Drosophila melanogaster: one gene and its partners. Changing the gene in region 1 together with any one later gene gives a genetic interaction. Each region holds a gene or a part of one and is shown in the gene's direction. Other genes may lie near its edges.

The links.
Region 2: of orb (region 1) and CkIIbeta, changing one enhances a phenotype caused by changing the other (phenotypic enhancement), as found in Drosophila melanogaster (one study listed by BioGRID).
Region 3: of orb (region 1) and Pabp2, changing one suppresses a phenotype caused by changing the other (phenotypic suppression), as found in Drosophila melanogaster (one study listed by BioGRID).
Region 4: of orb (region 1) and rin, changing one enhances a phenotype caused by changing the other (phenotypic enhancement), as found in Drosophila melanogaster (one study listed by BioGRID).

Annotation. Positions count from the first base shown.
Region 1 is NT_033777.3:23,275,373-23,282,808, reverse strand, and holds the start of orb (oo18 RNA-binding protein), read left to right. Parts: upstream 1-1,952; 5' UTR 1,953-2,378; intron 2,379-3,250; 5' UTR 3,251-3,732; coding exon 3,733-3,750; intron 3,751-7,436. Other genes in the region: Cdc16 (cell division cycle 16), read right to left, coding at 1-125, 195-452, 512-794, 849-1,359, 1,423-1,518.
Region 2 is NC_004354.4:11,789,367-11,796,564, forward strand, and holds the start of CkIIbeta (casein kinase II beta subunit), read left to right. Parts: upstream 1-3,166; 5' UTR 3,167-3,320; intron 3,321-3,347; exon of another isoform or gene 3,348-3,379; intron 3,380-3,512; exon of another isoform or gene 3,513-3,913; intron 3,914-4,076; 5' UTR 4,077-4,080; coding exon 4,081-4,152; intron 4,153-4,431; coding exon 4,432-4,534; intron 4,535-4,607; coding exon 4,608-4,799; intron 4,800-5,452; coding exon 5,453-5,642; intron 5,643-5,738; coding exon 5,739-5,820; intron 5,821-6,234; coding exon of another isoform or gene 6,235-6,243; exon of another isoform or gene 6,244-6,365; coding exon of another isoform or gene 6,366-6,428; exon of another isoform or gene 6,429-7,198. Other genes in the region: karl, read left to right, coding at 1,492-1,629, 1,695-1,818, 1,992-2,365. UniProt on the Drosophila melanogaster protein: Participates in Wnt signaling. Plays a complex role in regulating the basal catalytic activity of the alpha subunit.
Region 3 is NT_033778.4:8,127,851-8,135,628, forward strand, and holds Pabp2 (Pabp2), read left to right. Parts: upstream 1-3,580; 5' UTR 3,581-3,873; intron 3,874-4,070; 5' UTR 4,071-4,183; coding exon 4,184-4,282; intron 4,283-4,539; coding exon 4,540-4,941; intron 4,942-5,091; coding exon 5,092-5,225; intron 5,226-5,290; coding exon 5,291-5,330; 3' UTR 5,331-5,358; exon of another isoform or gene 5,359-5,627; intron 5,628-5,764; 3' UTR 5,765-6,524; downstream 6,525-7,778. Other genes in the region: Socs44A (suppressor of cytokine signaling at 44A), read left to right, coding at 1-411, 474-945; Pbp49 (PSEA-binding protein 49kD), read right to left, coding at 1,645-2,778; CG42516 (uncharacterized protein), read right to left, coding at 2,842-3,294; Obp44a (Odorant-binding protein 44a), read right to left, coding at 6,660-7,046, 7,117-7,161. UniProt on the Drosophila melanogaster protein: Involved in the 3'-end formation of mRNA precursors (pre-mRNA) by the addition of a poly(A) tail of 200-250 nt to the upstream cleavage product.
Region 4 is NT_033777.3:13,644,098-13,651,403, forward strand, and holds the start of rin (rasputin), read left to right. Parts: upstream 1-2,906; 5' UTR 2,907-3,103; exon of another isoform or gene 3,104-3,172; intron 3,173-3,285; exon of another isoform or gene 3,286-3,449; intron 3,450-4,724; exon of another isoform or gene 4,725-4,820; 5' UTR 4,821-4,971; coding exon 4,972-6,400; intron 6,401-6,711; coding exon 6,712-6,962; intron 6,963-7,076; coding exon 7,077-7,306. Other genes in the region: sqd (squid), read right to left, coding at 1,656-1,822.

The DNA of each region.
Region 1 (7,436 bases):
TGTCCGGATAACGGTCCACCAGCTTATGGGCTACGTAAAATAGCCGATTAAAGTCGCCGTTTTCCACCAGACAGGCAATCTGAATGGTCAGTGCAGTGTTATGAAAGGGATCCACCTTAAGGAGTCTATATATGATAAGCAAAACCAAATACATTTTTGATCAATATAAGTCTTTTACGCCGTTCTTCACTTACTCATTGAGTATTTTCAGGCACTGTTTGTAGTCGCAGTCGTAGAAACACTTCTCCGCCTCAGCGGCCATTAGGTCAGTACTACGTTGTACCCGATCAAGACATTCAGCGATAGGAATTAATGTGTCCGTGTCATGATCACGCGATCGCCTCCTACTGGATGAGTCAAACATGGACCGGTGAGAAGCATCAATGAGGGAAGAAGCCTTTGAGAGACTAGTTTGTAGGGAAAATGTGGGCGCCTTTAGATCTTCCAGGACTCTTAAAGATACAACTTCAATAAGAATGCGCTAAATATTAGAAATATCAGGAGAACTGACTTCTGTGCGGGCGACATGAACTGGCTGGGCGTAAGCGGCACCTTGACGGCGCTCACCTTGGGCATTTGTGTGTCTGACGACCCGCTCTGCTGCACTCGAGCTGTAAATTCCTTGATAAACTGGAGTATGTCAGGATTAACAATGGGGGACATCTCCTCAGCATTGCGTGCGGAAATCAACTCGTAGTACTTCTTCAGGCGAGATTCATAAAGTTTTAGTATAAACTTGGCATCAGCTTCGCTGGATTGTTGTGCCAGCGGTAAATGATGCATTAGCTCAAACTCTGCAATGATTAAGTTGAGATTATACTGTATTCAGAAAGTAGGTGCATGCTCACCTTCCCAAGCCATCAGCATTTCGTGTTGAACCAGCGCCTCCAGGGCCTCAAAGCAGTATATGGATTTGTGAAGGGCCTGAACATAGAAGTCCATTGCCATGCCGCGATTGTCCAGGGCCTCATAAACTTTGCCCTTCATTAGGTAAATGGATGAGAGCAGTTCATTTCTGTGATTCTCCTCGCCACCAAAGACACTGTTGCTTTCCAGATAGCAGCCACTGCTTGCATCAACGGGCTGGTTGATCAGCGATGTGGTCATGACTTCCACCTCCACATTCTGGATGACATTGGCCGCCTCGGTAAACTCCTTGGCCGCATAGAGACTTTCCAGTAGTAGGTTAAAACATGGCAGTGAATTCTTCTCTAGCTTGTGATGCTGTATTGTGTGAGCAGCACGATGGTATTCCCCCAGTAGGTACATGCACTGCGCCTGGTAGTAAATATCCCTGGGTTCCAGGCCACCAAGCACGGCCACCTTTTCTGCCCAAAAAAGCGCTGTGGAGTAGCGACGCTAAAAATGCAATTGAATTTGCACTCAGGCTCTGCTTGCCGGCTTTTGGTTTTTTTGTCTTACCATGTCTATGAATTGTTTGACCAGCTGCCGGTACAAGGCCAGGTCGATGTGTTCATTGGTGGTGTCAGTGCTTGTGTTTTCCGTGTCCCCGGGCATTTTTATTAACGCAGAATTGTATTTTTGTTATAAATTTGATACAAGTTTTCCGCCGCTGGTAATAACTCATTTGAACATAGTGGCAACTCTGTGCAAAACAGCTGTATTGTTGCCATTCACTGGAAACAGTTGTTTACGCCAGTGAAAAAAATTTGGTTGCTGTTAATGCTTTACCAATAAGTAATAAAATTAATGGAAATATAAAAATTATTTTAAAACCAAAACTTTAAATGAAAATACAAATTAAATAAATTATTTAAATAGTTCAGCCATTTGTGCGAATTTTAATGACTGTTTCTTTTTTTGTCGAGGAATCGTCGAACACAAGTTGTTTCAAACAAATGAGCGCTTTTAAGTTCAAGAGAGCGGTTGCATGCGGTTGGTTCGACAGAGCCAGGCGAAAAAGGTTATTTAAGCAGCGTTGCACGCCGTGGCGTGGCCATAATATCAAAAAATCCCGACTAAAATTCCAAAATAAAAGATATCACGGGATGATAATTTAGTTTGTTCTATTAATTTGTATTGCCGCGGCAGGGTCCGCTCAAATTTAAGGCTCAATTTTAAATTCGAGTTAATGTGGTGCCATACCACAGTCGCAAAGATTTTCAACAATCAAAATAGTTTAATAGTAAAAAATGCGTCCGTGAGTGAGTAGTTTGGCGAAACAGCATCGGAAGGAGAAACGGAAAACGGCGAAGGGCGTGCAAAGCAGAAGTAACGGTTCCTGGCGGCGTGTGTGCGAGTGTGTGTAAAAATGTGCTTGGTGGACGACAAAAGAAACGGGATGCGATTGCAAGTGCGGAATTAAAATAAAATTCACACGAATTTATGCGCCATCCGCGTGTTTTTGCGAGTCCTGGGTATGTATTGGTGTATCAGTGTTAGCCGGCACTAGAAATTGTTGACCGAAAAATGGTGCAGTTCAAATTAGTTGGTAACAAGAAGGTGAAGAAAAACAGGGCAGCGGCTCATTTTTCGTTCTCTCATTCTCGACGTGCGTATTTTACAACTTTACAACTACACACTACTATTATGTGCCGTTGGTCCTGTTTTTTTTTCTGTTGCCTTTGGCTCACGTCATCTCTCCAAAAACTACGGCAATCAATCGCCGCCTTGGCCACACAGAGGAAATGAAGCTGGAATTGCGCGGGGTCTTAATTCGTTAATAAAATGTAAGGTGTGCACAATAATAGATTTTTGGATTGTCCGGTATCAATTGAAAAGAAATATGAATAACAGTGCAATTCATGAAAGTATAGCAATTTTTCTTTCTGTGTGCACACTTATTCTTACTACCCATTATTCTACGCACAGAGCGCGAGAGTGAGATGGAGAGAGTAGAGAAAGGGCGAGACAGGGCTTGGCCCCATCTCCATCTCCATTTTACAACTCCAACTTCGCTGCCACTGCTCATTTCATGCTGATTTATGGCTCTAATAATAGGTTCGCTCAACACACAGCTTCCGAAAGGATTACCACCCGAAAGGATAATGCATAGTTTGTGTTATTGGCGGCCATAAAAGCCCCCTTTAAAGTAAACGACCCTGGATTACAGTTAATTACAGTTAGCCGGGACAGTGTCATAGAGAGTAGGAGAGAGAGGGATACGCCTTGATCGATTTACGGCATTTAACGCTCAAGTGCGTACGCGTGTGTTTTCTTTAAACTCCACTGATTTGGAAACTACAAAGAAGAGTACTCTTATAATTAATTCATGCTTATGATATTTCAGGCCTTTGGAAATTTGCATCGTTGACGAGGCGGAATGAATCGATGACTATTTGCTGCTGATACGGCCACATCTGCCAGCTGTCTTGGTTCGCCTTCGCCCCTCTCGCTCGCTCAGTCGCGTTATCCTGTGGAGCTCCAATAAACAACAACAAAAACCAGATTCCTTGCCCGAGGCTCGGCATCCAATTCAAACTCCAACCAGATCCAACACGAACTTGGACTCGAACCGCAGCGAACTCCAACCGAAAGGCCTGCGCAGGAGTGAAAGAGAGAGGGCGAGAGAGACGGTGCGCGAACGGGCTCTCCGCCGGCAGTGGGAGTGGGAAAGGGAAGGTACGAGAGGCGGAAGTGGTGACATCTGTTTTGCCGCTTTGTCAGTTGGCGGATGCTGCTCCTGCCGAACACGAACGAACGCGAACGAGCACGAACGAACAAGGAGCGCAACGTGAACAAGTGTGGAAATTGGAATTTTTATTCAAAACAATGCCCCTGCTGCAACAGGTATGTAAATAATAATAAAACCCATTCGCACTCCAGAGCGGTAATTGAAACGCTCACGTACGAATAAAGTCGGCTAGAGAGAAAGAGGGAGAGAGAGAACGACCGAGCGAGTGAGAGAGCTCTACATCAGCTGGCTTTTTCAGTTCATCTTCCCAATTGGGATTCGTGAGTGGCTGGCCCGGGATGATCCTAATAAGATTAGTGCCCAACTTTACGCCTACACTTCTGAGAGTTTTTCAAACCACCCCACCACCCACTGAAACAGCCCCATCCGCCAACGTCTGTTGCACATTATGAGTAGTTAAATTCGATTAAACTTGCGGCGTTTTCTGCGCCAGACACCACTGCGCCTCCTTTTCGTCCTTTTTGCCGCCGGGTGGGCTTTTAATTGTACTCTTTGTTGCGCAAAATAGTTGCGTGATTTAATTTTGCTCGCCTTTATATGTTTTTTAATTCACTTAAATGAGATGATTCGATTAGGACACTGAGCGGTACAGAAAAAGCGCAGAGAGCAAATGGAAGCATTGGAATAGCGGATAAAAAACAGAGCTAAAGTTGTTGGGCACGCTTTACAACTGCCATTAGTATCCAGATTTTTATGTCTTTAAAGATTCGTAAAAGTTTGTCTAATAATCTTAAAACTCCAGTGACAGTACAAGCAGACAGCTATTAGCCTCTTATGGCTCAAAATATTACATGTCCCTTCCTGAGTTTTTCTTTATCCTCTGGAAAATTAATTATCCTGCCTGACAATCCGCTTCATATCAATACACATCAAAATTATGTCAGTTGCGGCAATTGCCCTTCACCCCCAAATGTGAATTACATGTAATGATTACAATATCCTTTATGCTGATACGCACATGCTAACCAACCCGACGACTCGGCTCATGCCCCCGCCGACCCCAGACTTGATTTAAGCGATCCTAAAGCGACTGTCAATATGTGTGACAGGTTTTTTAAGACGCTTTCCCTCCTCGGCGGAGCACTTGGTCCCATTGTTGGCTACGCGGCCCGTTTGTATCCTTGCCACGTCTTCCGCCTTTGGAAAAAGTTGCTCATTGTCGACTGTGACAGGAGACCCGGACCCGTCTATTGCTCATCATTCAGGCATTTGACGACAGACGACGCACAGGGGTTGAGGAAAAGCCGCCTTGACTACGTCAATGGATTGGGGATGGCTTTCAAAGAGGCGGAGATGGAAACAGAGGTGGAGGATGAAGGATGGAGGTTGGTTCTGTGCTGCATCCATGGCCCGAGTTGGCTGACAATGGAGCTGCGCATTTGTTACAATGTTTACACAAATATTTAAGGATAATCCGACGATTTCAAAGGGGTTATTATGCAATTTTTCTTCTCATTTTATTGTGGCTGCCAGCGGCGGCAGCAAAATGGTAGAAAAAAAAGATCAAAATATAGACCCAACTGAATAACTAAATGCAAAATGTCAATTTCGTCGTGTAAGCAGTGTCTATACCCCCCCCCCCCTTCCCTTGCCGTATTGCTATACATTCATATTTATTTGCTGGTAATGTCTAAAATGCGTCTACTTCTTGCCAACGTGGCGTGTTCTTAATGTCCTGCTTTCCGTATTATTTATATTTTTTGCACTCATTTCCATTGCGGCATTGCCTGCTGTTTAAAATGCCTATAAATAATGGTGGGGGCCACAGCGGAAAATTTGTCGGTCATAAGAAATGCTGTACATTTTATTTGCCATTTTAAGCCGTAGGATGTGTGATGTCATGCTCTGCAAAAGTCCATATCCTGCTGTAACATCGTTTCGTACAAAATTTTCCTTTATTGTCCTTGCACCAACGTCTTGGTTCACTGTCCAAGTGCAGGTCAGTCCATATCAATGACACCGGGATTTTGTGTAGCAATATGTCTGGCATTAAAACTTGCCAACATTACTGTATTGTGCATAATTAATCATAGAACCTTACTATTAAATTAGATCTATGCTCGTGGGGGTAAACTATGCTTAAAGCAAACTAAACTATCTGCTTTACCTGTTGATTACACACGCCCATAAATATTACACTAATAGTATAATTAAGTGAATGCTTGGCCGTTTTCCCTAAACGACTGCCTGCAATTGCCAGTTATTAGCCGGCTCAAATTTGATTGCCAGCGGGCAAATCATTGGCATTATTCAAACCCAAACTCGAGTGAATGCTCAAGAGAGGGCGGCAATCATTTCGAGCAAATCATTGTGCTGGGCGATGGTGTGGCATTAACAGTTGGTTATGTACACTTAAGTATATGCCGCAGGCCAACTTGGTATGTCCAGGCCGCCATAGCCTGCCATTTTCACTCCCACTACCCAATAGTACGGCTCCAGCTTCTGGTTCTGGTTCTGATCCTTGGCAGACTATTGGAATGTCTCGACATTTCGCGCAAATGCCAAAAGTACAAGGCGGCCAAGGCGTCCTCCAACAATGCGGTGGCAGCAGCCCCAGGGCACATCATTAAAATGTCGATACCAAGCAAATCACACGCCCGCCGCCAGCGAGAAGGATAACAACCAAGAAAATATCAACCAGGGTGCGTTGCGTTTGTTGCACTGCCGCGTTTTGTGGATTGGGTAGTGGTGCTTGGTATTAGGGCGTAGCCCATTGCAATATGAGCCTGTGGCATTTAACAAAAATGAGAAAGGAATAATACAAAAAAAAAAAATAAATAAAAGAAGAGTGCGGAAAATGGGAGAAAAAATGGAAAACTGAAAACAGAAAACGAGTGCAAAATTCAATTGAATTTACTTCGCCAGACGTTGCACACACTACTGGGCTCAACTAGCATTTAATGCATTGGCAGTGGTGCGGCATGCGTGATTGTGATGCGGCACCGCCGACACCGCCCATCGTCCGACGACACCCACTCACCCCTTTGTGACCCCCTGAACTCCGGCTGATGCACACCATTATTGTGGTTGAGCGGATGACGAAAGGTGGCCTGGTCGAGAGGGTATCAGGCCTTTTGGCCAATGGAATGAGCCCGAGGATGCGTGATGAGGGGACAGAAGGGGCTGGTGGGTTGGCGGTGGCGGTGGCATACACACACAATGCTGTTGCGTTATCATTAAAAGCGAACCAAAATGCGGCAAAAGAAAATAGAAGCAAACAGCAATGAGCAACAGCAACATCCAGTCGGAGCACCAACAACACCAGCAACAAGCAACAATAAAAGGCAAACCACAAAAGGGCAGCATCCAGTTGGAGTCGCCTCTTGTTTTCTATATCCTCGCAAAGGTTCCCAGCGCAACTCTGTGCAGCGTTTTTGAAACGTCCGTGATGGAGCAGTTTTGTCCTTGCGAACTGCAGGCTACAGATAATCTCTGTCGTCAAAACTTGTCATGAAATAAGGATCTAGTCTACGGGACATGTATGAAACTCTCAAAAAATATTAAAATGAAACCATTACATCAGGTTTCAGCATAAAATACTTTTAAATAGGTACTTTGTATAAAATTCTGTTTAGAATGACTAGGACTTGTTGAATTAATGTATTAATCAGTTAAAGCGTAGCATACTTAGAAGGGCATGATGAAGAAATATGAACTAATCAAAATTATATTTTTAATGCTAAGGCATCAGACATTCGAGATGATTACTCGGCAGTTTTGAAACTGTATTGTATTTCTGTTTTTTAAATAGGCCCGGAAAAGTTGTACCTTTTCGCCTCGT
Region 2 (7,198 bases), on another chromosome or scaffold:
TTAGATAGTCGGACGCAGGTGCAGTTTTGGATGTACAGGTTCCCGTCCCTGGTCACGTCCCCGGCCTCTTCTAACTGGATCACTTTCTTTGGCAACGCTTCGATTCGATTTCATTCTAAGCACAGCCGCCGGAGGAGGAAAGCATCTCAAATCCAAGCCCAAAAGCGAGTCAAACTCAAAGGCTCATCAATATGCCGGGCGCACTGTGACACATTTCAAGTCGCTAGTGATGGCACCATCTAGTTAGCTGGTACAAAAAAAAAAATAGCGCCTACAGTCGAACTTCCTTAAATCAAACGACTCTGTGGCAATAGCTATGAATTCTAACCTCAAAGATAGTATAATATTCGGTTATAATAGTACTATGGGTCTTATAATAGACTTTCCTGTGTCCTGCCCCACTGGAAATCATCCAACGATTGACGGGAACGTTCCATCTCTAGCGAATAGAATGAATGGGACATAAAGCGAGCGCAGAAAGAGCCAGGCAGAAGAAATGGGCTCACACCGATGCCAAAATCAATCACACTTTCTAAGTGGCTCAGACGTCGTCTGAGTCTTGTCTTGTCTTCTCTTCTCTTCTCTGCCCGTCCCCTTTCTTCTCACTCCCCTCTCTTCATCGTCTGCATCTCCGTTGGCGGCGACAATTGCACTTTGATGCAGGTGCAGTTCGACAAATACTGCTACGAATACAAACACCGAAAAGCGAGCCAAAAGTCAGAAAACAATCAGCAATAATAGACAAAAGACACGCACGTAGAGACCCGAAGAAAGAGATGGCGGGAAGACAGTGCCGAAAGAGGGGGTGCAGTGAAAAGGGGATAAGGGGGGGGGGGGGGGCACATGCGGTGCAATGCGCTTTTGAGGCGCATCAATCAGAGGCTGTCTTGCGTCTGCATCTCGTGTCTGCGCGTCGCGACTTGCAAAACAGCGAAAGAGACGGCAACAGCGGTGCAGAGAGAGGGACGGCCATACTGACTTCTCAATGAACTGTCAGTAGTCAATCACGGTGACAGCGCTAACGGCTTTCGTCGTCTGTCGCTTCTTCGACTCTTTCACCAACCGAAGTTTGTTTTGTTTTGTGGTCGCCAGGGCAAACAATGTAAATACACACATGCAGCTAGCTAAGTTGAATTGGGATTATAGCCAAGATGCATTTGTGGTCTTAACGTTTATTGGGCATATTTATTAGCAGCCCTGACCTCTCAAATATCATAATAATGATCGTACACCAGGGTTTTTAAATACCCATTAAAAAGCACGACTGTCTCAAGAGTTATTATAAATATAAGATATGTATGTGAATCTTAACCAGAAACCCTCGCTGTCTAATGTATATATATATAGGTAATAGAAAAAAACTCCTATCATAAAGTATAATAGATCTTTATCATTATAGATTACATTATATATTATATTATACAACATTATAAAGACCTCCTCTAAATTACTTACATATCTAACTTATTATGGAACTAATTTTCCGTTTAGGTGGGAGCCATTAAGAACTTCGATTTGGAGCGCATGATGGGCTGTTGGCACGTGGTTCAGTATTACGCATCCACAGAGGAACTTCCGGAGTACGCGTGCATGCGCAGTCACTTTTCCTTTTCCAAAGAGGATCAGCATGTGAGTGGCAGCAAGGACCTTTATCCCTATTACAAATTATACCTCAATACCTCAATTTAAATTAGATAACGATGAACTTTAGCTACATATTTGCGGAGGATCCGCTGCGCGAGAAGCTCGTGGGCAACATCACCTGGATGATACCCAAATTCCAAGAGCCAGGACATTGGCAGCACACGGAGGACATATGTGAGTGATGGAAATGTTTCTACAATCAAATTCAAAACGAAAATCTATTCAAAATGTAGTTGTGATACGTTTGAAGTAGTTTGGTAATTACTATGCCAAAGAGTAATTCGATCTGCCCGGGTTTAATATATGTTTTAAGCAGTATTTTCGTTTCTATATGTACCTCCTTGCAGATGAGGGCATCTACAACACATACGTTCTGGACACGGACTACGACACCTGGGGCCTGGTGATGCACTGCGCCGAGAAGAAGAAGCAACCACGTTACCTGTCCGCCCTGCTTTTGTCGCGGAAAACATCGTTGGCCGACAACGAGATCAGCTTTCTGCGCGGCAAGTTGCCGCAGGATATCGACACATCCTTTATGTTTAACATCGGGCAGGAATCGTGCGACAATCTAATGGAATCTAGTCGCGACGATCCACTGGCCTATGTTGTGAATGGACGCAAGAGAGCCAAGGAAATCTTCAAAATTATCAATAAGCCTGACGGCAGAGTGCGCGCTAGTAGCGAAGCGAGAAGCTATGAGCAAAGCGAGAAGCTGTGAGCAAAGCGAGTCGATGGCAGAGTAAGAGCTAAGCGAGAAACGAGCTACATTGCTCTCTTTTAGTTATTAATGTGAACGTGATGGATTCGGACGAGGAATTTTTTGCATCAAGCGCAACTATTAACTTTCTGTTAAAACTGTCGTCCACCCTCTTAACTGAAATAGAAATGAAAAAGGCGAATTCAATAATTTATATAAAAGGTTATTTACAGAATGGAACAAGACAAAACAAAATAACGTGTGTTTTGAAAATAAACGGTAATATAGCGCAGAATATAACAAAACAATCGTACGCCCTGAGCGAGTTGAAGCGATAAGGCCTTGCTCTCGCTTTTTCGCTTAAGCTCGCAACTCGCTTCGCTCTCACTCTGACATCTTTCGAGCGATTGCGCTTAAAATGCATGCAGTGGGTTTATCGCTCGTTCTTGTATTATTAGTCTAATCAATCAACTAAGAGAAAATATTATACGAAAACCCGATTTATTTTGTCAATAATACAAATTTAAATAAGCACTTTCAAACATTTCAAACTTTCAACATAGTGTTACCATACAACTAAACGAAATAATACCTTAAAGTAGTTGTAAGAAAATATTGCTAGCTGCAATCGGTAAATTATTTGACAAATGGCAAAACAGCCAACTAAATGCTGGTAATAAACAATATTTTAATATTTGGCTTGATTTGCTTATTTAACAAATAATTCCGCGTTTTGTTTGGTTAATTGCTTTTCCGAACCAGTGTTGCGAAACGCGCAATCCCGATTAGCCGATACATCGCTTAGCGATGACACGGCGCCACATCGATTGGCAATCGCCTGCGGACAGCGCAGGACAGCGGTAATCGATAGTCGAGATTGCATACCTGATATCATCGTCTTCGCTACAATATTTGCCTTTACCGGTTCAGCTGCAGTACAAAAGTCGATCAATTTGAGTAATTATTAACAATTTGGGTGAGTGCTGGCCACTGGAAGATAGCCGCAGCGGGAAAAATACAGAATAGCAAGTTGGTGTGCGTTGGATTGCGCTCATCGGTGTAAAGGCGTGCGTGTGTGCACGTCCCTATGTGCGCTTCGCGGTGTGCGTGTTTGCTTGTGTGCGTGTGGTGGCCCCTGTATATGTGTCTCTTTTTTTCTCAATTTCCAACAGTGTGTGCTTCTTCTTGCTGCTCGGCACATTTTGTATGAGCGCTTGTCAATTGTCACAATACGAGTATAAAAATTTATTTTTATGCCCCCCGACCACACGAATTTCAACGGTGCGATCACCGAAAACTAGTAACATTGTACAAGCAACGCGAATTAAACGGAAAACCGAAAACAAAAACCCCAAAAGGCCAATCCAACCAAAAAAAAAGAGGAGGAAAGAAGAAAAAAGCGGAAAAAGAGAGTGTGGTTTGTGCGAGCAACAAGAAGCGGAACCAAAAGGAAACGTGAAGAAAGCAGGGGGGGTGGGGTAGACAAGAAAGTGCCAAGATTCCGTTCCAAGATATTTTAACAATAAATTTCGCACGCCAGCCCAAATTACGCAAAATAATCCCCTTAATGTATGTAATAGTGCGTGAGCGTTTGTCCCAGTGTGTGTGCCATGATTGCCTGTGTGTGTGAGAGTGCGGTGTGCATGTGTGGTATGCGTGTGCAGGATAATTTGTCAGCAAAAAAAAAACGATGAAAATATGAATTAGCAACTCCATTCGCTTATCTTTGCAGCAAAATGAGCAGCTCCGAGGAAGTCTCCTGGGTCACCTGGTTCTGTGGACTTCGTGGCAATGAGTTCTTCTGCGAGGTGAGATATCATCATCATATCAGCATCAACGACGAATTACCCGCGTTCTTCGCTGTAATCGCGTTATCTAAGCGCGCGCTATAAGTGCAACAATTGCAAAGTGCAGCCCTCAATCTCTGCCTTTGCGCGCGCGTGTGTGTGTGTGTGTGTGCGTGTGTGCCGCAAGGTGGGGCAATACCGAGCCCAACTGTACACACATGTCCAGATAACACACGATATAGTGGATATATGACAGTATATTCCAGTACAGATCCTAATTGCATACGCTTTTGATTCCAGGTGGATGAGGACTACATACAGGATAAATTCAATTTAACTGGTTTAAATGAGCAGGTACCCAACTATCGGCAAGCGTTGGACATGATCTTGGACTTGGAACCGGGTAAGTTTAGAATGGGCTGTTACCCATATCCAAAATTGTAATGTATATAGCTAATGCGCCTTACCATCCACAGAGGACGAGCTCGAGGACAATCCACTGCAGTCCGACATGACCGAGCAGGCCGCCGAGATGCTCTACGGCCTCATACACGCCAGATATATACTAACAAATCGCGGCATCGCTCAAATGATCGAGAAATATCAAACTGGCGATTTCGGACATTGTCCACGTGTCTACTGTGAAAGTCAGCCCATGCTGCCATTGGGTGCGTAACCAGATCCTTGATCAATCGCTCTTACCTATAGCTAACAAACATAGTTGCGAATCTTTCTGCGCGTAATTGATTGTAATCTAAAAAAAAAAAAAAAAAACAACATATCTACGAGGAACCTCGTGCTTTTCTGCCTAGTAATTACATAGCCAGAAACTATCAACGCGATTATTGGCACAACTTCTAATTGAGTTTCCTGAATAGCATATCATTGGGGCTTTCCCATGAAATCTTACACCAAGAAAAAAACAACGCATTCTTAATAGAAATTCTACCTTAATTGTCTGGCTTGGCTTGCCCTAGTTAAAACCTTCGCAACGCTTCCCGATCTCCAATAAATTCTTACCGAAACTTCCCTAAACGTTGTTAACGATCAAATAAAGCAATGCTGAATCAAATGCATGCACAAATGCAAGATAGGGTTTCACTAAACAAGGTCCCTCAATTTCTGTGAAAATTAACTAGGCCAAAGTGGCTAGACGAGCCTTGTAAACATTTCTGCTATTAATGATAAATGATCATGATGGATATCATGTTGAGTTAAATCAGGTTAAATATGTTTGTACCAGATTTCACCGATGAATTCTGACTTTTTCTAGTTGCTAGTTGCTCTGCCAGTGGTCTAATCCTTTGATTATTATCCTCAGGTCTGTCGGACATCCCCGGCGAGGCAATGGTTAAGACCTATTGCCCCAAGTGCATTGACGTGTACACACCAAAATCGTCGCGTCACCACCATACCGATGGCGCCTATTTCGGCACTGGATTTCCACACATGCTCTTCATGGTGCATCCCGAATATCGTCCCAAGCGTCCTACTAATCAGTTTGTTCCAAGGTAAGATTTATACCCATTACTGTATATGCACATTGTTAATATGCTCTTTTGTTTTATGTGCCCGATACGACGTCAACTTGATCATCACATACATAGGCTATATGGATTTAAAATACACAGCTTAGCTTATCAAATTCAGCTGCAGGCAGCAGCCAATTTTAAAATGCCACTACGAGCGGTAAATTTAAAACTTAATAACTAGCTATTAGTATCCTTTCCACCATTTACCCCACTCTCTCATCTTTTTTTGTTGTATTTTATTTTGGAATCTAAAATTCTATATATTGACTAAAAAAAACACAACGCCACCAAGGGATCATTCAACTACTAAGCATATAAATATATTATATCTTTTTTATTTGTTTTCTCTCCCCACACATACAAAACCACCAAACCAACCACCACCACCACCACAAAAAAAAACCAAACCAAATCAAATCAAACATCCATAAAATCCGATCGACAACCTGAACCTGAATATGATTATGAATACAATCATGTCTCTGCCTGTCTGAATAAAACCAAACATAAAACCAAAATATCGATATATTATCGATCGTTCCAATCGATCGATTCTTAAAATTGGGTGTAGAAAAACTAATAAAATAAATACACCACCAACAACAACAAATACTACAACACAAACACATACGCACGAATACAACAACAAACAATCCATTTAACTGCATGTAAACGAAACAAAAACATAAATTGAAATGATAGTTTACAACGGGAAGACCGATAGACAGCAACACACAACAACAACAACAACAACAGCCACACTGAGAGACGGAGAGACAATTGTATTGAGGTTTTTAAACGCTGGGCGCAAAGTTTCATTTATATAAATATAAAAACTAAAAAAACAACACAAAAAACAAAAACCAACTGCGTTTGTATTTCAAAATGAAAAGAAACAGAAACAGAAGAAATTGTATAACAAAACAAAATAGTTAAAAGGACACACAGCAACACGCATATTTATTTAGAGCCCATAAACATTCAAAACATGAGAAACTTCATGCGATGTTGATTTTTATTTAAAACACTGCAACTTCTTATTAATCTAAACTTCATTCAGAAACATGTATTTATGTTAAATTTGAATGTTACCGCTGAGCAGAATATCCTTCGCATTGAAGTTTAAGTTCAAGGACTACAAGCATAACTCTCAAATACACACACACCCACAAACGCCTACACACACACGCTTATATATATATATATTATTTTCTTCAGTCAATTAACCAATTATGTATGTGTTTTTATATGTTCGTTTCCTCACATTTTATGTATGTATGTATGTTTTGTGTAACATTTTAAGACACAGGCAGTGCAACACTTGACCAAAAAAAGATAAAAAGAAGGAAATAAAACAAACAAAAAGGATACTCGAATTAGACAGAAAAAGAGAGTGTGTGAGAGAGAGAGAGAGAGAGAGTTAGAAGTAGAGCGATAGGTAAAAAGAAACTAATTTAAAGTAGAGAAAACAACGATATAAGCAACATAGTACTTCCAAATAATAAAGAACACAAATAACGATCAGCATTTATGTA
Region 3 (7,778 bases), on another chromosome or scaffold:
GGCCGTGACTGCATCCGCCGCCGTCTCCACCAGTGGATCGCAGAACAACAACAACGAAGTGTGCGTCCTTGAGGCAGCGGACTCTTCCATGGCCAGCTGCAGCAATGGGGGCACGGGCACAGGAACTCTGCGCAGAAGGCGGGACAAGGACAAGCGAAACGTGTTTGCCAGACTACGAAGGAAGGTGGGCCAAGGGCTCAGCTCCCTGCGAAACTGGCACTCCATGGGCGACTGCGACGACGGCGGAACTACTGATGCCACCTACGAGTTCCTTACGCCGGCCATCTGTCCGGAACCCACGCTACCATTCACACACGACTACTTGCGCTTTATCCGGAAGAAATGGCTTGAGCGCGAGGACGCCCACTCGCCCAACCAGATCATGTACAAGGCCTGCTCCGAGATGCTCAAGTAAGCGCCGTGTTTCTCCGTCCATCAACGATCGATGACTCATGCCCTTTGTTTGTTTTTAGCCAAGTGTGGTACTGGGGTGAGATCTCCAGGCGCGATTCGCAGCGGCAGTTGAGTGACAAGCCGACTGGGTCGTTTCTAGTCCGCGACTCGGAAACCAGCGGATCCCAATTCACGCTCAGCTTTCGGATTGTGAACGTAACCCTGCATTATCGACTGGAATATCGCGACAATTTTTGGCACTTCGAGGAACTTAAGTACGAGTCCATTGTCGAGATGATCGAAGATATCTTGCACCGCTGCACCAACGACAACTTTGTGTGCTTTGTGAAGGTTCCCAACGAGATGCAGCCACCGTTTCCAGTGATCCTCAAGTACCCGTTGAGCCGGTACTCCAACATGCCCAAGCTGCAGGACTTATGCCGCCGTGTTCTGCAGCGCCAGATGTCTCGCGAACAGCTGGCCCAGTTGCCAGTGCCGGCGCAGATGCTGGAGTACTTGTCGGTGGAGCGGGAGCTGGTCTTCCAGAGTTAGGCAACCGCCGCCCGCCGTCGAGAAGCCGCTGGTCAAAGCTTTAACACTGAAGTAAACGCAAGCGCGTACACCAAAGAGGTCCGGGCGAATGGAATCCCAGCCTGCAGTTGTTCGTAATGATATTTGTTGGTCGGATTGGCAATATGTTGTTGATGCATTTCTACGCCCCAGTAACTAAGCGCACAGTCTCTCTTCACGTGCACGCCGGAATCCCAGTGCACAGAATTTTACTGTATTGTACTGCTAAGTACGGTTAGTACTAGTATCTTGTCTAGGATAATGTATTATGTTATTTGCCATATTTAGTCTATTGGTTTGTTTTATATGGGTCCTGGTCAAGTCTATACTCTGCACCACAGTGTGCAAATCCTTAAGCAAATTTTTAAACATTGAACTACTGCATATATGTATTAACGTAAGTTCTAAGCCAGATGTATCGTACTATTTACGTTGTTTGCATTTTTGTATTCCTAACTTGGACACTAACTTTTTGCTAATCTAGATTGCATGGAATTTAGGCAGCTTTACGGCAATCGAATACGTTCAATGCCAATTACTCTTGTTGCAACGTGTATGTATTTTATTTAAATCTATCTATGAATATTTTACAAGAACAAAATATCAATCAACTCCTTGAGCGATCTTGCAGTCAAAGGAGCTCGCAAATAAAGAAAAAATCACACAAATGTATATGTATATTCAGGAGGGGAGATTTTGCTGTTTAATGTCCTCCTCTTCGCCCTCCAGCTCTACATGGTCATACATGCGATAGGCTTTGAACTGGCCCAGCTTGACACCATCCACGTAAAAGAAGCTGAGAAAACATCTGCGGCACAGGTAGGAGGGATCGTGCAGCTGTCGCCGGGACTGGTTCACGATGAAGCTATAGCTGCGAATGCCGCACATATAGCAAGTCCTGCGATTAAACGTACTGAAGGCGTGAGGATAGGGATACAGGCTGCGATCTGGCCGTTTACTAAGTGGCGTTAGCACCTCTACCTGGGAGATCACAAACAGGTGTTCGCAATTGCCGTGGTGCAGGTAGTGTAGCGGTGATCCGGGGCTGACAGTGAGATCGATGAATCTTTTGCCCTCCATACTCTCCACCTTAAGCGTTTCTCCGTTCACTCCGTTCGCTCTGGCAGCCCACTGCAAGACGGTCTTGGAATAGTCGGGATTGTCCGGATTGCGCTGGTCGTTGTAGAATGTGTCGTTGATGAAGAAGTAACCGGGATTTGTGTCAATGGATGGCAACGGTGCATCTGGATCGTCGCTGATGTCGACAAACCGTTTTCCATTGCAAACGCAGCTGATCTTGTCCCGCAGCTCGGTCAGATAATTGCTGCCCAGACATACGAACTCCTCGGCGAAAACGGGAATCTCCACCTTAAACCCGCGATGGTAGGCCCGCGGTGGTCGATATAGACGCACGGTTAGCTCCAGTTCGCCGCAAGCATCGATGTGCAGGTTAGGCGAGTCTGTCGGCGTCGGATTCAGTTTGTGGCTGTACTGGGTGCGGCCAAAGGGACACTTACGGGACTTGTCCTTGTGCTGGCTTAGAGCAGTAAAAGTGGAGGGCACATGCTGGTTCTCCTGCGGCGGAGAAAAGGTTGGGCGGCATTTGTCTGCGGCGGGCTGGAAGACTGCAATCGAGCTGTCGTCTGGGGACTCGATCAAGTCCAGGGAACAGCTTTCAGACACGTCGACAAGTACTGGGTTTTTTTGGAGAAAGAAGGGCACTTCGTCTGCAGTACCGGATATTTTCTTTTGATAGTCGGCTAGAAAGTCTCGCAGGCTTAAAGCTGGATTCGTTGTAATATAGGTGGTATCCATGGTACTAAGAGGTATGTCTTGAAAGAGTGTTTTTTGTTCAGGATTAGACTCAGTTCTCCACACTCAATGATCTTCTCCAAACTTGTTAATAGCCTCCTTGTAAGTTATATTTAGCTTCAGAGATTCTGGCTTTGGCTCGGTCTGATCGTCCTCTTCAGTCTCAGCCGACTTCTCCACCTCCTGGTGCAAATTGTCCACGTAGACCCTTTCAAAAGATATCACCTTGGTGGATTTGTCCACGTACTGGTACCGCTGGCGACACACTGACTCAAAAAGCGGATCACTTGCCAGATTGTCTTTTTCCTTCTCAAAGAACACGTTGGTTCCCACGGAATGTTCGTAGCGTCCCCGATAAATGCTTCCATTTACCTCGGCCATGGGCGTGTCACTCTCGATTCCGATGATCTTAATGGCCGCGTCCTCGTGCTTCAGCTGGTGCGGATGAATGTGGTTCTTGAAATCCGCAAATACCAGGTACTCTGTGTCCTCGTACTCCGAATCGGAGGAATCGTTCATGTTCTCCTTTTATCGTTATGCATGGGCCCTGATTGATGGTTGAATGATGGCGTTATTTCGCAATATATGACTTCCTTAAACAATAATTTGTCTGATTCCCATTTACAAAACCTTGTTAGAAATGTGCGTGCACATTCCTCTTCTTTCCTTCCTATGGTAAATTTAAAATGGCATTGTGGTGTGAAAATACTATTATTTTTATCATCCAAAGAACTGCTTTCTTAAATACCGGCAGTTATCGATAGGTAAACCCACCACCAAACCATCGAAACTATCGAGGCGAAAACTGTCATCGGTAAAAACGAGGCGAACACAAATCTGTTTCAATTTGTGTCAAAAACTACGTACGTTTTCGTATAGTTGTAAATATTAGTAAATAATAAATAAATAAGCTTATAAATAAATATTTATGCTGACGTGGTGTGGCGCGAAACAAAGTCGAAAAGGGTTTAAAAACGTAGACTTTTGAACGAAAAACAGCAACCCAGCAACCCAGCGTACGTGTGTTTTCACAGGGCAGCCATTTTGGGCGAACTCAACGTCAGCAGAACGAGCTCGTAATTTGTACATTTATTAAACGTAAGTACAGTGTGTTTAATTAAATATCAGTGTAGTAGTGCGAACGCAGTGAAACCTAGACATTTCGGTGTCCGCAGCCTGAATTTATTTACTTATGGCTTGGATTTTCACTGCATTTGCATGATGAACTCTTCATTCGCGCTCTTAATGTTTTACGCTCTTTATGCTCACTTTCGCCGCCCTTTTCTCATTGACAGCTACCATACATACATAGTTACGACAACTGCCGTTTTGAGTACCACGCCGGAAGCTTTTGCGCCAACAAAACCGAGCTTTTGTAGCAGACGTAAACAAACCCAAATCCAAAGCAATGGCCGATGAAGATATCACATTGAACGAGGATCAGCTCCTGGAGTCATTGGAGGAGACGAACGGGGAGCAAGAGACTGAGATCGCCACAGAGGTCGAGGTGAGTTGGGGTTGCCCTTGTAGACAGTGCCCAAGAACCAGTTTCTTGGCCTCACGCCTTGCGAAAGCCCGCCGAATTCCCTGGAAAAGCTCGCAAAGCTTTGGGGGATATACAAAGCCGAAAACCGCAGCAATGGCTGCCATTTTCAGAGCGTCACTTCGCACCGCCACTCCATTCCATTGTCTGCTGTGGTTTCGGGCGTTTGCTCATCGCTCCAAATCAAATACCACTAAATTTCATATTTTCCTCGTCGCCAGGAGGAGGGCAGCATGCAAATCGACCCGGAACTGGAGGCCATAAAGGCTCGAGTCAAGGAGATGGAAGAGGAGGCCGAGAAGATAAAGCAGATGCAGTCGGAGGTGGACAAACAAATGGCCGGTGGGTCTACCACCGGCTTGGCCACAGTCCCGCTTTCTCTTGAGGAGAAGCAGGAAATCGACACGCGGTCCGTCTACGTGGGCAATGTGGACTACGGCGCATCGGCCGAGGAACTGGAGGCCCACTTCCACGGATGCGGCACAATCAACCGAGTAACCATACTCTGCAACAAGGCTGACGGGCACCCCAAGGGATTCGCATACATTGAGTTTGGTTCCAAGGAGTTTGTCGAGACGGCATTGGCCATGAACGAAACCCTCTTCCGAGGGCGTCAAATAAAGGTGAGTATCTGAAGCACTTTTTGCTAGTCCTGCTACCTATCAAACTCTCATGTACATATGTGGATAGAATGAGTCCTAGGGACTCCTACGTAGCGCAATTTTGAAAGCACATATTTAGAGTTGACTTTAGCTTAATCTATTGACTTTCAGGTAATGTCGAAGCGCACAAACCGCCCTGGACTCTCCACCACAAACCGTTTCGCACGCGGCAGCTTCCGGGGTCGAGGAGCCCGTGTCTCCCGGGCGTGCTGTCACTCCACCTTCCGAGGCGCCCGAAGAGCTATGTAAGTGGGCTCTGGAAAATCCCGATTGGATCGAGCTAATCCCGGTCTGTCTTTCGTTCCAGAAGGGGTTACCGTGGTCGCGCCAATTACTACGCTCCTTACTGATTATTGTTTTATTAAAATCCCTAGTAAGGTAAGTTGACAATTTCGAACTGAAAATAATTGATAGTTGAAATTTTATATGTGTGGGTTGCGTCCGATTTATGTCGGTTACATAAAGTAATCCGATATCTATCTCTTATATTTTGATACATTTTTTTTCTTAAAATTTATAAAACCAATGAGGACGTCTTTTTATGTTAAATTTAAGTTGTTAGAAAATGCCGTTTGTTTTTATGGAGCTAAATAGATTTAGTTTGCATAGCTGGTAGATCATTACGGGAAATAAAAACAATCAAATTTATGGTCAAAAACAGAATAATTTTCCGAACCCTTTATGGGAATACCTTGCTCTCATTCGCAGCGTGTTGGGTTTTATTATAATGCTTCCATTCGATTTACCGACTGTCGTCTTTAATCCATTAACTATTTGATTTCAGATTTTTTTACAATATAATTTCAAAAAACATTATTTTATTGCCAAACTTCTTTGCTAAATAAAAAAGAGAAAACAATCGCAACAGAAAACGCCAGAAAAAATATCGTTTCAATAAAAAATGCATCAGCAGCAAGAAAACAGGCGAAAAGAAGAGACCTCGAAAATAATAAAAAATCAACAAGGAAAACGAATATCTTGACTTGGCTATAATGTTTTTTGAAGCACCCAACACCAAACACCCCCTTTTCACACATTTTAATTTTCAATAAAACATCAAAAAAAAAAAAAAGATTATGAAAAACAAGAAGTTGATTTAAAAAACAAAAAAGTATATACAACAATAAGTATATATAAAAGAAGCGCAAAAGAAACCACAAACCCCAAATAAAAGAAGTTAAAAGATGGCAAAAGCAAATAAAGAAGGAAGAAAATATAAAAAAAAAATCAAAAGAACACAAGACTCTTGGGAAAGAAGTAAATCAACAAAATATATAAAAAGTGCGTGTGTAATTTATATATTTAAAAAAAAAATATATAGAGTAAAGAGAAGATAAGAAAAGAAGTTGAATTTACTAAAGCGAAAAAGATGAAGACAAATATAATCGAATTAAATAAGCTATCAATGCCTTTCCTTTGGGCGGGACAAGGTTTTTTGGGATTGAGGATGCGAGTAACAGCTTGATTCCTGCCACCACCAGCAGCCCTACCTCTCTTCCAGCCCTCAGAAATATTGTGAATAATAAAAAGAACATTCTTCATTCAAAAGCACTATTATATGGTTTTATTTCAATCGTAGGATTGCAGAGCCTGAGCGGATTTCAACTCGAAAATGCCGCGTTGCTTGCGTGTTGATTGATCTTTCGCTTCTAGAATTGATGTGGAACTGCGCTGAACTCCTAGTTCTTCTGGACGGCGGCCTGCACGAGGGGCAGGTTCTTGCCAAGGAAACACTTGAAGCCACGGAAGGCCCATTCGTTGGCGGGCGACTTCTGCTCGTTCTTGTCGGCGCACTTCTCGATGTCGGCCTTCAGCGCGGCCTTGTCCTCCTTGCCCTGGCCCAGTTGCGCCACCAGGTTCTCCACCTTGAAGCCCTTGGCCTCATCGAACAGGTCGAATTTGACGAAGATGCACTGGATGTAGTTGCGGGTGATGTCATCGTCGGGATAGTCGAAGGTCTTGTACTTGGCGATCAGGGCCTCGGTCACCTTGCTGCTGGCGGCACACTCCTTGCGCGCGCTCTGCAGATCCTCGGCGGTGCGCAGCTTGTAGTCGGAGGCAGAGGCCTGTCGAGGAGCAAACGGATGAATTTAGATTACTGGCTGCCATCGGCTTCTGTCTCCTTGCAACACTTACCAGACCCAGCAGGGCGCACAGCAGAATAGCAACAGCGTTCTTCATGGTGAATCTTATTTTTTTTGGCTTCTGTGATAGATTGTGTGAGGACTGAATGCTCGCTCGGAGGAAACTGTTGACTGTGGTCTGGGCTGCTCCAGCTTTTATACCTTCGAGCCCCGCTCAATGTGGGTATGTCGCACTCAACTGTGGGGCGATTTTGAGTGTCGCTCAATTGAGTTGCACTCGCCGGCGTAATTTAAATCTCATTATGGAATTTTTTGATAATGTCGAGGTTGTTGAGGAGACGAGAAATTAAGGATTACCTGATATATGAAAATGATATCTAGGATTGAAGAGTTTGCAGGGATACTGGCAATAGAGAAGAGCGGCTATGCCGCTCGGCTTGGTCTTAATGTTAGAATGCAGTATTTGGTTTTTACTACTGTTCAGCAGTAGTAATTTTCTCGATATAATTTTTCTTAGTTTTGTATATACCATTATCATGAAGCAAAAAAATTTTTATTTAAATGGCATTTACTTCTGGTTAAAGAGGATAACAATTATATTGTTTCTTTTTATATGATGAGCTAATTTGATTTTTCTATCCATTACATTAGCATTCCAAGAGAACGCATTACCAAATTTAAATAGAGAACAGGAAGGAAAGATATATATCATTG
Region 4 (7,306 bases), 9.6 Mb from region 1:
AAACGAAAAAACTGCGAGTCTCTTTTTCACTCGGTCTCTCTCTGTCTCCGATTACTTGGTACTTTTTTGTTTTTCTTTTTTTTTTAGGTAATTTACAAGTTATACGTTAAGAGATACAATACAATATATACTCGTATACAGTTTACATATGGATCCAATTTTAAATCGAGATTATTTCTTGATAATTTTGTGTGTTGATAGTTCTATATATTGGCTGACTGACTGATTGTTTGTTTGTTTTAGTTTTGGATAGATAAATACCATCAGCATCAGTATCGGCGGAGCGGAGACTTTTGGAGACTGGAGTGTGGAGAGGGTTGCATATCCTCCAAGTATAAGTCCGCCGAATCCGAATCCGAATCCGTAACCGTTTGCCGGGGGCAGGAATACGAATCCAAATCCATATCCGAATCCATATCCGTCTTGAGCATAGCTTAAAACCCTGACCTGGGGCATTTCACTTCTCTCAAAACCTGCCGGAGAGGAACAAGGTTAGTTCGCTCACAAGACAACAGGATAAGCTATGATTTTCGATTTAATTTCTCCATTTCGTCCTTCTTCCTTTACGGGGAATAATCTGCATCTGCTTCGTCAGCGCTGGTTTCGTATTATCGTTTAAATGTACAGTATCGTGTGACTTAAGATTAAACTTAGATATAAAATGATCATAAAGGATGGGCAAATGAAGTGTACGCTAGACCTAAAAACCAAAACGCAGGGGAGCAAACAAGAGGACCATTCTACTTGATCATCATTATCTCTATGCTTTAATCCATCAAAATTATTTATCATTTATAATTTACATTAATTGTTCGTTAAATTAATATTTTGGCGCCTTGGCAACTCCAAACAACGCCGGCTGTCGCTCTCTGAGAGTAAGAGCGCGCAAAAGAGGTGGCGAGCGAGCGAAGCCGGCAAGCAAGAGAATAAGTGAAAACTGCAAAACACGCACACACCTACAGAACAGCGGGCGTTAGGTTGGTATGTATGCCTGTATGCAGCCGCCATTTTGGGTACAAAACTGGAAGAGCACAAAATAACAACGAAATAGCCGAAACAAAGAGTAATGCGAATTAAAAAGAATACACTGACAAATACAAACATAACTTTTTCCAACGTTTTTTTTCGCCACATTTTTTGCAAGTGAAAGGCAACCGTATGATTTGTGTTCGTATGCGTCACAGTGTGTCTGTGGGGCAACGTGGGAAACAAACATAACCTCACAAAGGGGAGAAAATGTGCTCCTAGCTTAAGAAAACTCTGGTTTTCATTGCGGAAAGTGCGTGTGTGTGCAGGGGAAAACGTTGAAAATTTTCCATGTCTCCCGAGACTGTGATGATGCATTTTGGCCCGAAGATTCTATTAATATGACTGAAGTACAGTCGCACCGACACCTCACACACACACACTTAAACACACTCCGACGCACGAGCGCAAGCGAGAGAGAACACAAAAGGGGTCAGACTTCCCCCGCAGAACCCCGTAAAATCCAATGAAACTCGACCAACGACGTTAGCTTTGCATTTACGTAACAGAGTAGGCAATATACACTATGTAGAAGCAGAAAATCTATGGGGGGCACATGATCATCGGTTGCCCGTTGCAAAAATAAAAAAGAACAAAAAAAAAACGTATCCGCCGGATAATGGACATACCTGTCGTCGTCCCGCTGGCCGGATGCGGCCGATTGGTTGTCCGAACTGCCGTTGGTCGAGCCGGCGGCGCCCGCATCACCATTTTCAGATCCCGGACCGTCGGCAGTCACGTCCTTGGTGAAATCCTCGCCGTTTATTTCTGTATCCACTTGCTTGTTCTCGGCCATTTTGTGTGTTTTCGACTGATCTACTAATTTCGGGGGCTAGGCAGCACGATATTCGTTTTTTACGCAGAGCCGGAGATTTTTATACACACTCGCCAAAAAGTCGCGCGTACGAATGAAATGACGACCGGAAAATGATAAATGCAAACGACAGCGTGTGTATATGGGTGCGGCGTTGCCACCTTGATGTTTTCCCAGTCAAGTCGATTTGGTATTATTTTGGTAAATATTTGTATTGTATTTGCTTGCTCTACCTGGAGATTGTTAGCTATACATTTGCCAAGGATTAAATTGGGATTTTCTGTACGATACCACCCCAAATAAGCCTATATAAGGAGCTAAATGGGCGCGTGACTTGTCTGCTTGCAGTATGGCAGCTTTGATTTATACAATGTACACACACCTATGAAGAGAAAATGAAAAGAATACCAAAAATTTTATACAAATATTTTAAAGCCCAGTTTACACAATGGACAAGTTACTTGGTTTATAAATTCATTTTAGTTGTATTAAAGGTTTAAATATTTAAATAAATATTAAGTATTTCATAAACATTTATAATTTTATAAATATAAAAAATACAATGTTCATTATTTACTATGTGTTGGGAACGAAAACAACATTTACATACAAAGAATTGTTTAAAATCGAATTTTCATATTAACTTCTTATAGGCTGAAACATCAACAATATTTTAAATCATTTAATTGGTTTATATTAAATATTTTTATTTTTTGCAAAAATTTATACAATTTTCATATTCGGATTTCCCAACAGGTTATAATATAACGTTATTATGGTTTTTATTTATTTGCTATATAAAATGTTTCCTTTAAAGAAAGGTGTTTCATGAGCTTACTCAAAAAATCGGAAATGGCTAAAATGAAAATAAGTTTTATAAAACTATTTAAAAGAAACTTAGCGCCCCTAAAATGAGCTTAATTGAGCTCAAATATGAAAATATCAAATTCATCAAAATATTCTATGGAACATACTAGATTAACCACCCCAAAAAAAGAAGTGTGTGCACACCCTTGGAAAAGCCGCCATCATTCACACACCAACACACGCGAAACCAAGAATAAAACTGTGCAGAGGCAAAAAAGAGGAAAAGAGGAACGAACGTCGGTTCTCTTCTCGATTCAACACACTTGTCCAATTTCATTGCGTTTGCGATTATTTTCTACTCAAAAGCCACAACATATGCATCGTAACTTAATTCAACAACAACTGTGATCGCCAAACATCAGAAAGCAACAAAAAATACACGTCAAGAATTGCCAAGTTAGTTATTCTCAAAAAAAAAGACAAAAAGAATTGCAACAAACTAGACTAGTGTGTGTGTGTGAGCGAGTGAGTGCATTGGTGTGTGTGGCTGTGTGTTTTGTGTGCAGCTTGCAATTTTATACTGCATTTCATACGTTTCGACTATCGTTTTGTAAATTAAAAAAACCGCATAATTTCAGCGCTCCACTAAGAAATCCAACTCTCCCCGCCCCCCGCAGGAAGATAACAAAGAAAAGTGCTACAAAAAGTGCCGATTTTTCGGCAAACTTCAACCCAAAAGCAATACACACTGTGCATTACAAAAAGGAAAAATAAAAACGAGGAAAAATATCGCTTAAAAAAGGTGAGCCGGCGACGGCCTCGTGTGCGCGGTCTAGAAAAACTAGCATTTTCCATTTTCAAAGGGGTGGCGCATACTAGGAAAAAATCAACATAAAAAATGCTAAATGGGCGTATATTTTATTATTGCGGCAGGGCTCTATCTCTTAAATTTTTTTTTTTACCATTTTAGCGGCTTTTTTTATTATCGCTTGTGCATAACCTAAAAATGTACGAAAAATTTTGTTTTTGTACATTTTTGTTTAAATGCTGCTCTTCAACTATAGCTTTCTTTGTTCTTCCTACACACGCGGTTCGCAAGCAGAAATAGAGTGGGAAAGAGAGAACCCGAAAGAGCGGCGCGTTCATAACCGAATATGTGTGCGTGTGGGTTTGCCGCAACTCATTGTGCATTTTTTGTTTTATCGGCAAATGTTTATGGCTAAAATGGGGCAAAGGACACCTGCAAACATTGATATTTACTTACACCTTTTAACGCTATTTCAAGTGTTTTTGCAAGGCAGCAATTTGATATTTTGGCCAAGCTGGAGTTCATTGTATGCGGCGCCACAACCTTGAGACCCGAACATAACCTCAATTTAATTCATGCTCCTCGCTTGGCGGCTTCTTTTTTTTCTTTGCCAAATTGTATGAGGTCATTTACTCGCGCACACACACACACGTGCAAAGTTCAGTCAGCCAGGATCGCAGGCATAAAAGCTGGAGCACGTGCAGGGTTAAATGTCCTGCGACGGCAAGCAAATTGGAATTTTTCCTGACAGCTGCACTACACCAAATTTCCCCTTTTCGCATGTGCAAATGTGTGTGGGCCCCAAAAGTGGGTCAAACTGCAGCGCGCTGCGTCTGTTTTATATGCACTGCGGTAAAATGAGCTCCCTGTTTTGGGTGTACAAACCTCCCCCCCTCCCCGCCGTCCTTGTGACCAAGCGAAACTCTAGATCCTTATTGGAGAGCACAGCAGGGGTCAACACTTTGGTAGTCAGTCACATTTCTCTAGAAATTTATGTAAAAGAAGCACAGATTGATTTAATGGACAGTCTGAAAATCCAATTAAATTTGTTTCTTATATTTGCGTGTTTTACCGTTATCAAGCCTTAATTCTCCAAATTAAATTTACACGTGATGAAATTAACTGATAACACAACTAGTGATTCATTATGGTTTCTATACTTTTACCGGCACAGGTATGAATAAGCCATCTTTGAACACCTTTTGGAGATTGTAAGAAACAGGGTAGCAGCTTCCTTTAATTTCAAATTATCAGATTGAAAAATCTACACAGTCGTCTAGGACTTTTGCCAACTTTTCTTTTTTTTTATTAAAAAAACCAGACAGATTTTCATAGTGCGCGTATATTTTTTGCACTATTTCGCAGACGTTCCCACACTCTCAATCGACACAGATCAGCCACCGTGTCGATAGATCCGAGCAGCAGCTAGAAAGAAGGGAAGCAGAAATTGGAAGCGGAGACAAAGAATCCGAGTCGAAGAGTCCGTAGTTCAGAGAGGAAGAATCAAACGCCAGCTATGGTCATGGATGCGACCCAATCGCAGCAGCCTTCGCCGCAATCTGTGGGACGCGAGTTTGTCCGCCAGTACTACACGCTGTTGAACAAGGCGCCCAACCACTTGCATCGCTTCTATAACCACAACTCGTCGTACATCCATGGAGAGTCCAAGCTGGTGGTCGGTCAGCGGGAGATCCACAACCGAATCCAGCAGCTGAACTTCAACGATTGCCACGCGAAGATCAGCCAGGTTGATGCCCAGGCCACTTTGGGCAACGGTGTGGTGGTTCAGGTCACCGGGGAGCTATCCAATGATGGCCAGCCGATGCGGCGTTTTACCCAGACGTTCGTTCTGGCCGCTCAGTCGCCGAAGAAGTACTACGTGCACAACGACATCTTCCGCTATCAGGATCTCTACATCGAGGACGAGCAGGATGGCGAGTCGCGATCGGAGAACGATGAGGAGCACGATGTGCAGGTCGTCGGTGGCACTGTGGATCAAGCTGTGCAGGTGGCCGGCGATGTAGTTGCCCAGCAGCCGCAGCAACAGCAGGCTCCTCCGCAGCCACAGGCTCAGGTCGTGGTGCCCCAGCAGGTAGCTCCTGTAGCGGCCGGTGGTGCTGCCCCACAGCAGATCTTCTACCCATTGCCAGCGGGTGCTGCCGCCGGACGTCCTGTGGCTGTTTTGCCACCAGCTCCGCAAGCCGCTGCTGTTCCACTGCCCGCGCAGTTCACCGTTCCGCCGCCACAGCCCATCCAGAACGGTGTGGTGTCGCACGAGGAGCTGCAGCAGCAGCAGGTGCTGGTCCCACCCAGCGTGTCTCCCCTGGTACAGCAGCAGCAGCCGACCGGCACGCCTGTGTTGCCCATTGTTCCAGTGCCAAGCGCGGGCTTCCAACAGTCGCCACTGGTGGCACCACAGCTCATCCAGCAGCAGCAGCAGCAGCAACCGGCACAGCTGCCCCCGCAGCAGCAGCAGCAGCAGCAACCTATCCAGCAGCAGCAGCCTTTGCAACAGCAGCAACAACCGCTGGCTGAGCCCGAGGAAGTGGAGGTGGCGCCAAGGCAGCAGAAGCCTCCCACGCCCGTCGAGGATTTCAAGACCATTCACGAGCAGCAGCAGCAGGAGAAGTACGAGGCCGCCAAGCAGCAGCAGAATGAGCCCAAGACGTACGCGAATCTCTTCAAGTCCACGTCCTCCTCGCCCAGCGGCTTTGTGAACGCCGCACTGCAGCAGCAGCAACAGCTCCAGCAGCAACAGCAGCAGCAGCAGTCCATCAGCAGCAACACCTATAACTCTTCCTCGGCAACCTCGGGTGGCGGTAATGGCAGTCAGGTTAGCTACTCCACCACCGCTTCGTCGTACAACAACAGCAACGGCAACTCGCGACTGGACAACGGTGGCCCGCTGCCGCAGCGAAACAACTCGATCCGCAACAACAAGGGTGGTAAGTTCATCGTTCCACCCTTAAATTAAAAGGGGTCATTCCCCTCTATTCGGCTTCAGGGTAAAAAGACTAAAAGATGTAGTGCAAACTTTTGGATCTCATGTAGAAATGAAAACAGTGGTTTCTAAGAATTACTTTTTTAGTCCCCTTATAATTTATTATGATTGGCTTACGTTCAGATTTTTAGAAAGGTAATGATTCATTTTGTTGGTTTACTTTCTTATCAACTTAAGGTTGGCTTATATGATAAGCAAAATTGGGTACCGCTTTTTAGAAACTCTTCCTAATAACTTGCTGTTTATACTTTACAGACTTTGAGCAGCGTCGCTCGAGCAACACGCAGCAGTTCGGTGATAATCAGCAGCTGTTTTTGGGCAATATACCGCACCACGCCAGCGAGGATGATCTGCGCGAGATCTTCTCACGCTTCGGAAATGTCCTGGAGCTGCGCATTTTGTCCAAGGCTGGCAACAAGGTGCCACCAGGCATGCGCAGTCCGCTGAACTACGGATTCATTACCTACGACGATCCTGAGGCGGTGCAAAAGTGCCTGGCGAACTGCGTAAGTTAAGCAGAAAGTAGATTTAATTATTGGAATTGCTAAGGTATCTCTTTTATCTCCTTACTTTTACTGTGATCAGAAAGGTTATCTAAACATATTCTTTCCATTTCATAGCCCCTATACTTCCCGGAGAACTCACCCGATGGCCAGAAGTTGAATGTGGAGGAGAAGAAGCCGCGTGTCCGCAACGACATGGTGCCGCGCCAGCAGATCGGTGGCAACAACCTGAACAACAACATGGGCCGTTTGGGCGGCAACAATGGTCCGCAGTCGCGTCCGATGGGCAACAACAATGGCAGCGGCGGTGGCATGATGCGCAACAATGCCGGTGGCAACAATCTGCG